2 linked regions of the Macaca fascicularis genome follow. The protein of the gene in region 1 interacts with the protein of each later gene in a pairwise test. Links are inferred from orthologs where the notes say so. Each region holds a gene or a part of one and is shown in the gene's direction. Other genes may lie near its edges. The genes, in order: CREB1 and TSSK4.

What was found.
Region 2: the proteins of CREB1 (region 1) and TSSK4 interact in binary tests that used the Homo sapiens proteins (3 or more experiments, as listed by UniProt). The link is inferred for Macaca fascicularis from reciprocal best matches to the Homo sapiens genes CREB1 and TSSK4.

Annotation. Positions count from the first base shown.
Region 1 is NC_088386.1:103,521,504-103,525,317, forward strand, and holds part of CREB1 (cyclic AMP-responsive element-binding protein 1), read left to right. Parts: intron 1-2,038; coding exon 2,039-2,221; intron 2,222-3,419; coding exon of another isoform or gene 3,420-3,436; exon of another isoform or gene 3,437-3,442; coding exon of another isoform or gene 3,443-3,482; intron 3,483-3,814.
Region 2 is NC_088381.1:92,011,581-92,015,993, forward strand, and holds the start of TSSK4 (testis-specific serine/threonine-protein kinase 4), read left to right. Parts: upstream 1-1,347; 5' UTR 1,348-2,664; intron 2,665-4,413. Other genes in the region: TM9SF1 (transmembrane 9 superfamily member 1), read right to left, coding at 307-651. UniProt on the Homo sapiens protein: Serine/threonine kinase which is involved in male germ cell development and in mature sperm function. May be involved in the Cre/Creb signaling pathway. Phosphorylates CREB1 on 'Ser-133' in vitro and can stimulate Cre/Creb pathway in cells.

The DNA of each region.
Region 1 (3,814 bases):
TTTTTAATTTTGTTTTAATGAATTGTGTTTTATTGAAAGCTATCTCAAACATTTTGAGAATAATAAAATATATACATAAATATTATAGAGAAAAACCAGTAGGATTAGACTTCATTTTCCAAAGTATTTTCATATACATGACCTCATTTGATATTTACAAAATTGTACTTAGTGGCTAGAACTCAGATGCTTTTATTTTTAGAGAAGAGATAACAGAATCAAATAACAGTTTAGTGATGGCTGGGCACAGTGGCTCGTGTCTGTGATCCCAACACTTGGGGAGGCCAAGGTGGGAAGACTGCTTGAGGCCAGGAGTTCAAGATCAGCCTGGGCAACATAGCAAAACCCTATCTCTTCAAAAAAATGTTTTTAGAAAATTAGTGGGGCCTGATGGCCTGTGCTAGCTACTTGGGAGGCTGAGGCAGGAGGATCACTTCAGCCCAGCAGTTGGAGGCTACAGTGAGCTGAGATCTTGCCACTGCACTCCAGCCTATAAAACAGAACAAGACCCTGTCTCAAAAGAAAAAAATTAAACTGTTCAGTGATGGAACTCACACTACAACTCAGTCTTGTCATACATGGTTTACTATTTCTGCTTTCTTCTTCCCACCTTGAGTTTACTGCTCTGTAGCCAAGAAGAAAGTGGTATGTTAAATACAGTAGAATTCACTCATTAACTCTAAATGAGAAATTGTGATTTGTTTCTGTTAACCTTCTGATTCTTTCAAGTAATCATGCAAAATTAATCTTAGAATAGTTCTTACTCATTTTTCTCCCTGCCTAAGAGAAGTAAAACTTCTGGGATTCGCTAAACTAGATCCAGTGTATATGCCAGCGTCTTAATTTTCACAAGTATCATTTTGCTAAACTTATCACACTGTAGCCATTAACTCTTCTTATTTCTTGATTAGGCAATAGATAATCAATTTCCCATGTACAGGTGACTCAGGATGTTATATCCCATAGCTGTTGGATAACTGATCCCAAACTAATTCCCTTCTAATGGACATGCTTAATCAGACATGTTGACTTTCCTGCATTGTTTACTTTTTTCTTAGTTAAAATCAGTTGTACAGTTTTATATGTGATATTGTGATTTTCTGTCCTTCTCGTTCTGAAAAGCTTGACCCCCTACAGGGTGAATTGTCTAGAGAGGATATTGCCACCTATCTAAATCCTTCTTCCAAATAAACAATCTAATTTTTAAATTAAATTTTTCTATGTACTGTAGCATAAAGTTGATTTAGTTTTTCATAAAGTGAAATATCTACTAGTATGAGCAAAAGTTGACTGATTTATTGTTTAACAAATGAATGGCAGGTGTGGTTAATTAGGGCGTAAATAACGGGTTCCATATGAAAATGCTTGGATATGTATTAAATAATTTAGAAATTGACAGTAAAAGATTTTTTTTTCTAAGTGATGACCTTGAGCTCTGATTTTAAAATTCCATGAGAGACTGTTGATAATTAAGTTCCATAGGATATTTCAGTTGTTTCATTCAGTAGATTAGATACCATTAATGAATTTCTACAAGAGTTAGGGAATAGAATGCACTGATGAACTGCTTTATTAGTTATATGTTAAAACAACCATTTATTGGGTGCCTATTTCATGGCTGCCACTGTGCTAAGTGTATGAAAGTAGATAAGAAAATTCCTACTCTCCAGAAATTTATTTATTAGTGGGACAAGTGTTAATACATTATGTAGTTAATGCTGAAATAAAGGATCACAGAGTGGAACCTCTGCAGAACCAGATAACTTCAGAAGGAATTTAACATTTTTCCATTTAAAAAATTGTTAACAGGCATTATTATTATAAATTAGAATGCAGTTCATAGAGTGCATTTCTATTGTAGAAATTGAATATGGGTTTCCTGAGCAGCAAGTTACTTGAATATATCAGACACTTCTTGGTGATGTTATTTGCTGTAATTTCTCCTAGACTATTTTACAAATTATTCTACATTGGATTTAGTGTTTTAAAAGTCTTATATGGTATTAAACTTGTAACAATAAAATCCATTGGATTTTAGTTGCCATTACCCAGGGAGGAGCAATACAACTGGCTAACAATGGTACCGATGGGGTACAGGGCCTGCAAACATTAACCATGACCAATGCAGCCGCCACTCAGCCGGGTACTACCATTCTACAGTATGCACAGACCACTGATGGACAGCAGATCTTAGTGCCCAGCAACCAAGTTGTTGTTCAAGGTAAGGGACTTCAGAATTCACAGGTGTGGTAAATTCTTCAAAATACTAAAATTTTATAAACTCACAGAAAAAGTAAGTATCATATTACAAAGCTCCATTCAAATGTAGTTAACATTTCTTCAATATAGATAGTATTTTCCATGAACTCTTCCATTATTCCAATTGGACCAAAATGTCATGGCATAAAAACAACTATTTTCAGTTTTTAAAATATTGCATCTGCCTTTAACATCTTTACTATTTGGGGTAGAAGAAACAGGACAGGTTAGAAGGAAAGACCAGGAAATCAGGAGTTAGAAAAGATGGATTCTATATCTAACTGCATGAATCTGCTATGAGGCCTTGAGTAAAAGCTCCTCTGGGCCTCAGAAAAGTGTTTTTTTTTTGTTTGTTTGTTTGTTTTTTATCGTTTTTGTTTTGTTTTGTTTTCATGTGTAAAATAAGAGTTGCACTAAATCTCTGAAAACAGTCTTTAGAAGTTCAGGATTCTGTTTCTGTGCTTTTTATTCAAAAGAAATTTAAATCTTCTGAGATCATCAGTTTTTATTATTTTTTTTTTTTTTTCTAGAGACATGGTCTCACTGTGTTGCCCAGGCTAGTCTTGAACTCCGGGCCTCAAGTAATCCTCCTTTCTCGGGCTCCCAAAGTGTTGGGATGCCTCTGCACTTGACCCAGTTTTTATTTCAAATGAAAACATTATATTCCACAAAATCTTATACCATCTTATGCTGTTCTTTAGAGAAAAAGTAGTTGTTAAATTCTTGACAAATTATAGAAGTTGCTTTTTTGTTTTTGGGGGTTTTTCTTGTTTTTTTTTTTTTTAGTTTAATTGTTTTTTTCTGTCTGTTTCAGGAATCTTTATGGATATCAGTTAACCATTTTTCTTTGGATTCGTTTGAATATTTCAGGAATATAGTTAATGCCAGGTTAGAAATTTGCTGATTGAGGAAATAATAATAAATCTGTTTCTGAAAATATTTTTATAAATGATAATGTATTTTGCCTGGGTTAGGTAATGACAGTTGTATCCTTTCACCATGGATAATTGAATAATCCTGAAACACCAACTGGAGAGAGTCATAACTTATTTAAAGAGCCCTAATGTTTACAGAATATATTCTGTTATTAAGCGAGTATTTGAAAAAGATACTATTTTGCTTATTGATGAGAGTAAAACACCTTTTCACTTTACATGCAGGTACTCAAAAATTGTAAAGCAGGATGTCAGTGAATTTGAATTCTGAACGTCAGTTTGAAGATGGTAACATGTTTAGTATATAAATCTTTTCCACTCAAAGCATACTTTTTAATTGATATTAATAATTAATATTAATAATTTAATAAAGACCTTCAAATTTTTTAAGTAACATTAGGTTCCTTAGGAGAGCATATTATTACACTGTTTTTAGAAGCAGTTTGACAAATAGTGATTGTGTTTGTTTTTACAAATGGTGAATCAGAAAAATAAAACTTCAGTTTATTTAGTCATTATCATTTACATTAAAACAATATGTTTTCAAATAATATAATTGGCATCAGGTGATACACTTTTTCATACTTTCAGTTTTGTTTTAATTCAAAATCTATAATAGT
Region 2 (4,413 bases), on another chromosome or scaffold:
AATATGTAGGACTGATAGTTGGGACCTCATGACCAACAGAGAAGCTTGCAGTAAGAAACCCTGGGCTCTGATATCAGTTCTGCAATTCACTGTCAATGTAATCTTGAAAAAAGTAACTTCTAAGCAAGTTCGTAACTTAGTCAACTGAATTAGAATAGCATCACCTACCCTGCCTGCCACACTGGGTTGTATTGTAGTTAGAATCAAATCAGACAATTTCCATAAAGGTACCCTGAACCATATATGTAAGGCACTGTTAGTCTCTGGGAAGGAGGGCTACATGATAGCCAATGTGGAGAGGCTGACCTGTGCAGAACTGAGCTGCATGTGGCACAGAATTCTCTTCTCCACGTTTTCCCGAAAGCGGATCTCATACAAAGACTCAGCCATTCGGTCCCCATCCAGCACTTCACCCAGGCTAAGGCTTTTGTGACGTATCTTCTCAGGGCAGCAAACTGGAAGCTGATAGTAGTGGTAAGTTTCCTGAGGGTTATGGTAGGGTCCCACTTTGTTGACATATAGAATAACAGGGTCGCCGGCCTTGTAGTGTGTCACGCCTTCCACCCCTGGCCCATGGCCTGTGCCCAGCAACAGTATCAGGATTGGCAACCACTGGCAGCTCCAACTTCGAGGGTTCCCTATGACTGTCATCCTTAAGGCAGTGGAACCTGTTTGGGGGAATCCTGAGGTTACAGAAACCAGGGAGGTTACAGAAACCCCAGGTCAGGTGCCTCGAACTGAGGTCCCCTGGCTCCACTTGCTCCCATTGACCCCCTCCCCGCCCCCACCCTACCCCGCCTCTCTCTATCCCAAAGACCCCGCTCCACTTCAGCTCTCTCATCCTCCCAACCTGGGGTTCATCCCTCCCGCAGCCCGTCCGGCCCGGGGCCTCTATTTCGCGCCCTGGCCCGTTTCCATGACAACGCCGCGCGGTCTCGCACCTCGGGTCCCTTCCCGCCATAGCCCCGAGGTCCTCACCGCGCGGGAAGGGCTGGCCGAGGCGGCGCCAGCGGCCTCCGCGGCCCCGTAGCTGCCCTTGGGCTCCTGCCGGGGTCTCTACCAGAGCGGCGCGGTAGCGGCGGGTTGGAGAGGACCTGCCAACCGACCTCCACGGGGTTGCCCGCTGCTGCGCCTGACAGCTGCAGCTGCGGCTACACCGCGCTGGACACAGCTCTGGCTTACTCAAGAACTCCCCGCTGCGCCTTCTCCATCTGGAGGCCCGGCCCAGCTCCGGCGACCCCGTGAGGCTCGGCTCGCCCCGCCCGTCCTGGGCAAGGCGGGGGTCCTCCCGGCGATCGGCAGCGCGGCCCAGGACACGTCAGTCTTACCACTTCCGCCCTCAGCGGCGGGGACCTCAGCCTGGCGGAAAGCTTGTTGCATTGAATGTAGAGGGCCTTAGACGCTGCAGCCCCTGGGGACCCCTTCGCGACGGCTTCCCGGGGAGGGGGCTGAGGCCTGGCAGCCAGGACCCTGACGCCCCTTCGGGAGAGGAGTGGCATCTAGGCCGCTCGCTTGCTCCGGGAAAGATTTGGGGTTTGAGAGCTCTTGGCCAGGAGGCTCGCCCTGGCCGAGGCCCGAGAGGTGTACCCGCAGGCAAGAGCCTAGCGAGGGCCGGGGAGATGGAGCGCAGGCGGCGGCTTTGTTCGAGGCACTTGCCAGCTGAACCACCAGCTGCTGAGCCCTGCGAGGCGGTTCGTGGCCCCCCAACTGGGGAAGGGGCTCTGGGCATCTGTCCCATGCAAGGGTCCCACCGTCTGAATCTCACCTCACTCCTCTCCCACCTGTCACGAATGGCCCGCGCCAAAGTAATAAATATGTAATAGGAATGTCTTCCAGAGGCTATGCTGGAGACTTCCCTGGCCGCACAGTGAGCGTTCAGTGCCCCACCATAAGCAAGCCGAAACCCGGTCTGGCGCAGAGGCGCCCAAGGAGAGAGGGTGTCTGTCCTTTCACTCTCTGAGTTGGGCAGCCTGACACGGTTATTGTTAATTGGTAAAGTATCTCGCGGTCCGTTAGTCTTCTTCTATGTTTTTGTTCTTATTTATCACTGTGTATGTCTTTGGGCTTCTCTTAACTTTCTATGGCAAATTATTTTGAAAAAGTTTACTCTTGTGTTTATCTCAGCGATTTTAAAGGGGATCTGCCGTCTAGGGAGTTCCCCTTGAAAATTGGACCTTTGAGTAGTGACTTCTGTTTCGCCACCTGGGAGCAACGTGTAAGGAAGTGGACTTAAGGTTCTCTCTCCCCAGGGGAAGAAGCACAGTGGAAAAATCACAAATGACTTCTGGCCTGAAAAGCCCTTAATTTACCTGCTTCTACAATTACTGCCCTTTATGACCCAGTTCATCTCCCTGCAGACATAGGTGAGGGTCAAAGAAGTAGATGGTGGAGTTTTTTAGACAATCAGTGAATTTTGTAATTAGAAAAAGAACTGAGGTCGGGCACAGTGGGCTCACACCTGTAATCCAAGTGTGTCCGAAATTGGTGGGTTCTTGGTCTCACTGACTTCAAGAAGGAAGCCGTGGACCCTCACATTGAGTGTTACAGTTCTTAAAGATGGTGTGTCCGGAGTTTATTCCTTCAGACGTTCAGATGTGTCTGGAGCTTCTTCCTTCTGGCGGGTTCGTGGTCTTGCTGTCAGGAGTGAAGCTGTAGACCTTCGTGGTGAGTGTTACGGCTCTTAAAGGAAGTGCCTCAGGAGTTGTTTGTTCTTCCCGGTGGGTTTGTAGTCTTGCTGGCTTCAGGAATGAAGCTGCAGACCTTCGCCTTGAGTGTTACAGCTCATGGCAGCATGGACCCAGAGTGAGCAGCAGCAAGATTTATTACAGAGTGAAAGAACAAAACCTCCACAGGGTGGAAGGGGACCCCCGCGGGTTGCCACTGCTGGCTCGGGCAGCCTGCTTTTATTCCCTTATCTGGCCCCACCCACATCCTGCTGATGGTCCATTTTACAGAGAGCTGATTGGTCCGATTTGACAGAGTGCTGATTGGTACGTTTACAATCCTTGAGCTAGACACAGGGTCACAGAGTGCTAGTTAGCTAGATACAGTGTTAGCTAGATACAGAGTACCAATTGATATGTTTACAAACTTTGAGCTAGACACAGAGTACTGATTGGTGTATTTACAAACCTTGAGCTAGACACAGAGTGCCAATTGGTGCATTTACAATCCTTGAGCTGGACACAGAGTCAGAGTGCTAGTCCTCCAAGTCTCCATTCGATTAGCTAGATACAGAGTACCAATTGGTGTATTCACAAACCCTGAGCTAGACACAGAGTGCTGACTAGTGCACATACGATCCTCCAGCTAGATATAAAAGTTCTCTACTTTTTTAAAATCAGGATTCTCAGGAGAGGGGTTACCTGGTCATCAGCATTTTCTTTTCTTTTTTTTAAAGCAAGCACTGAGGCCGGGCTCAGTGGCTCACACCTGTAATCCCAGCGCTTTAGGAAGCCGAGGTGGGTGGATCACCTGAGGTCAGGAGTTCGAGACCAGCCCGGCCAACATGGTGAAACCACGTCTCTACTAAAAATACAAAACAATTAGCCGGGCATGGTGGCTCATGCCTATAATCCCAGCTACTTGGGAGGCTGAGGCAGGAGAATCGCTTGAACCCGGGAGGCGGAGGTTGCGGTGATCTGAGACTGTACCATTGCACTCCAGTCTGGGCAACAAGAACCAAACTCTGTCTCAAAAAAATAAGCACTGATTTTGTTTTCGTTTTTTTTTTTTTTTTTTTTTTTTTTGAGACAGAGTCTCGCTCTGTCTCCCAGGCTGGAGTGCAGTGGCGCAATCTCAGCTCACTGCAAGCTCCACCTCCCAGGTTCATGCCATTCTCCTGCCTCAGCCTCCCAAGTAGCTGGGACTACAGGCGCCCGGACCACGCCTGGCTAATTTTTTTGTATTTTTTAGTAGAGACAGGGTTTCACCGTGTTAGCCAGGATGGTCTTGATCTCCTGACCTCATAATCTGCCTGCTTCAGCCTCCCAAAGTGCTGAGATTACAGGCGTGAGCCACCACGACCGGCCAGCACTGATTGTGATGTATACCCAGATTATATGAGCATACAAGGTAAAGTCAAAATAGCCTGGCATATGAGACCGCTCAGACCTGGATCCTAATTACTTCTCGAGGTACATTCCCCTTCTGGAACCCTATCCTGTATTCAAATAGAAATACTGAATATCATATTCTCTCAAGCCTACAAGCCTCATATTGTTCCTCCTGCCTAAACCACCCAATCTCCTATTCCCTACTTATCCTTTTTTTTTTTTTGAGACGGAGTCTTGCTCTGTCGCCTAGGCTGGAGTGCAGTGGCGTGATCTCGGCTCACTGCAAGCTCGGCCTCCTGGGTTCACGCCATTCTCCCGCCTCAGCCTCCCAAGTAGCTGGGAATACAGATGCCCACCA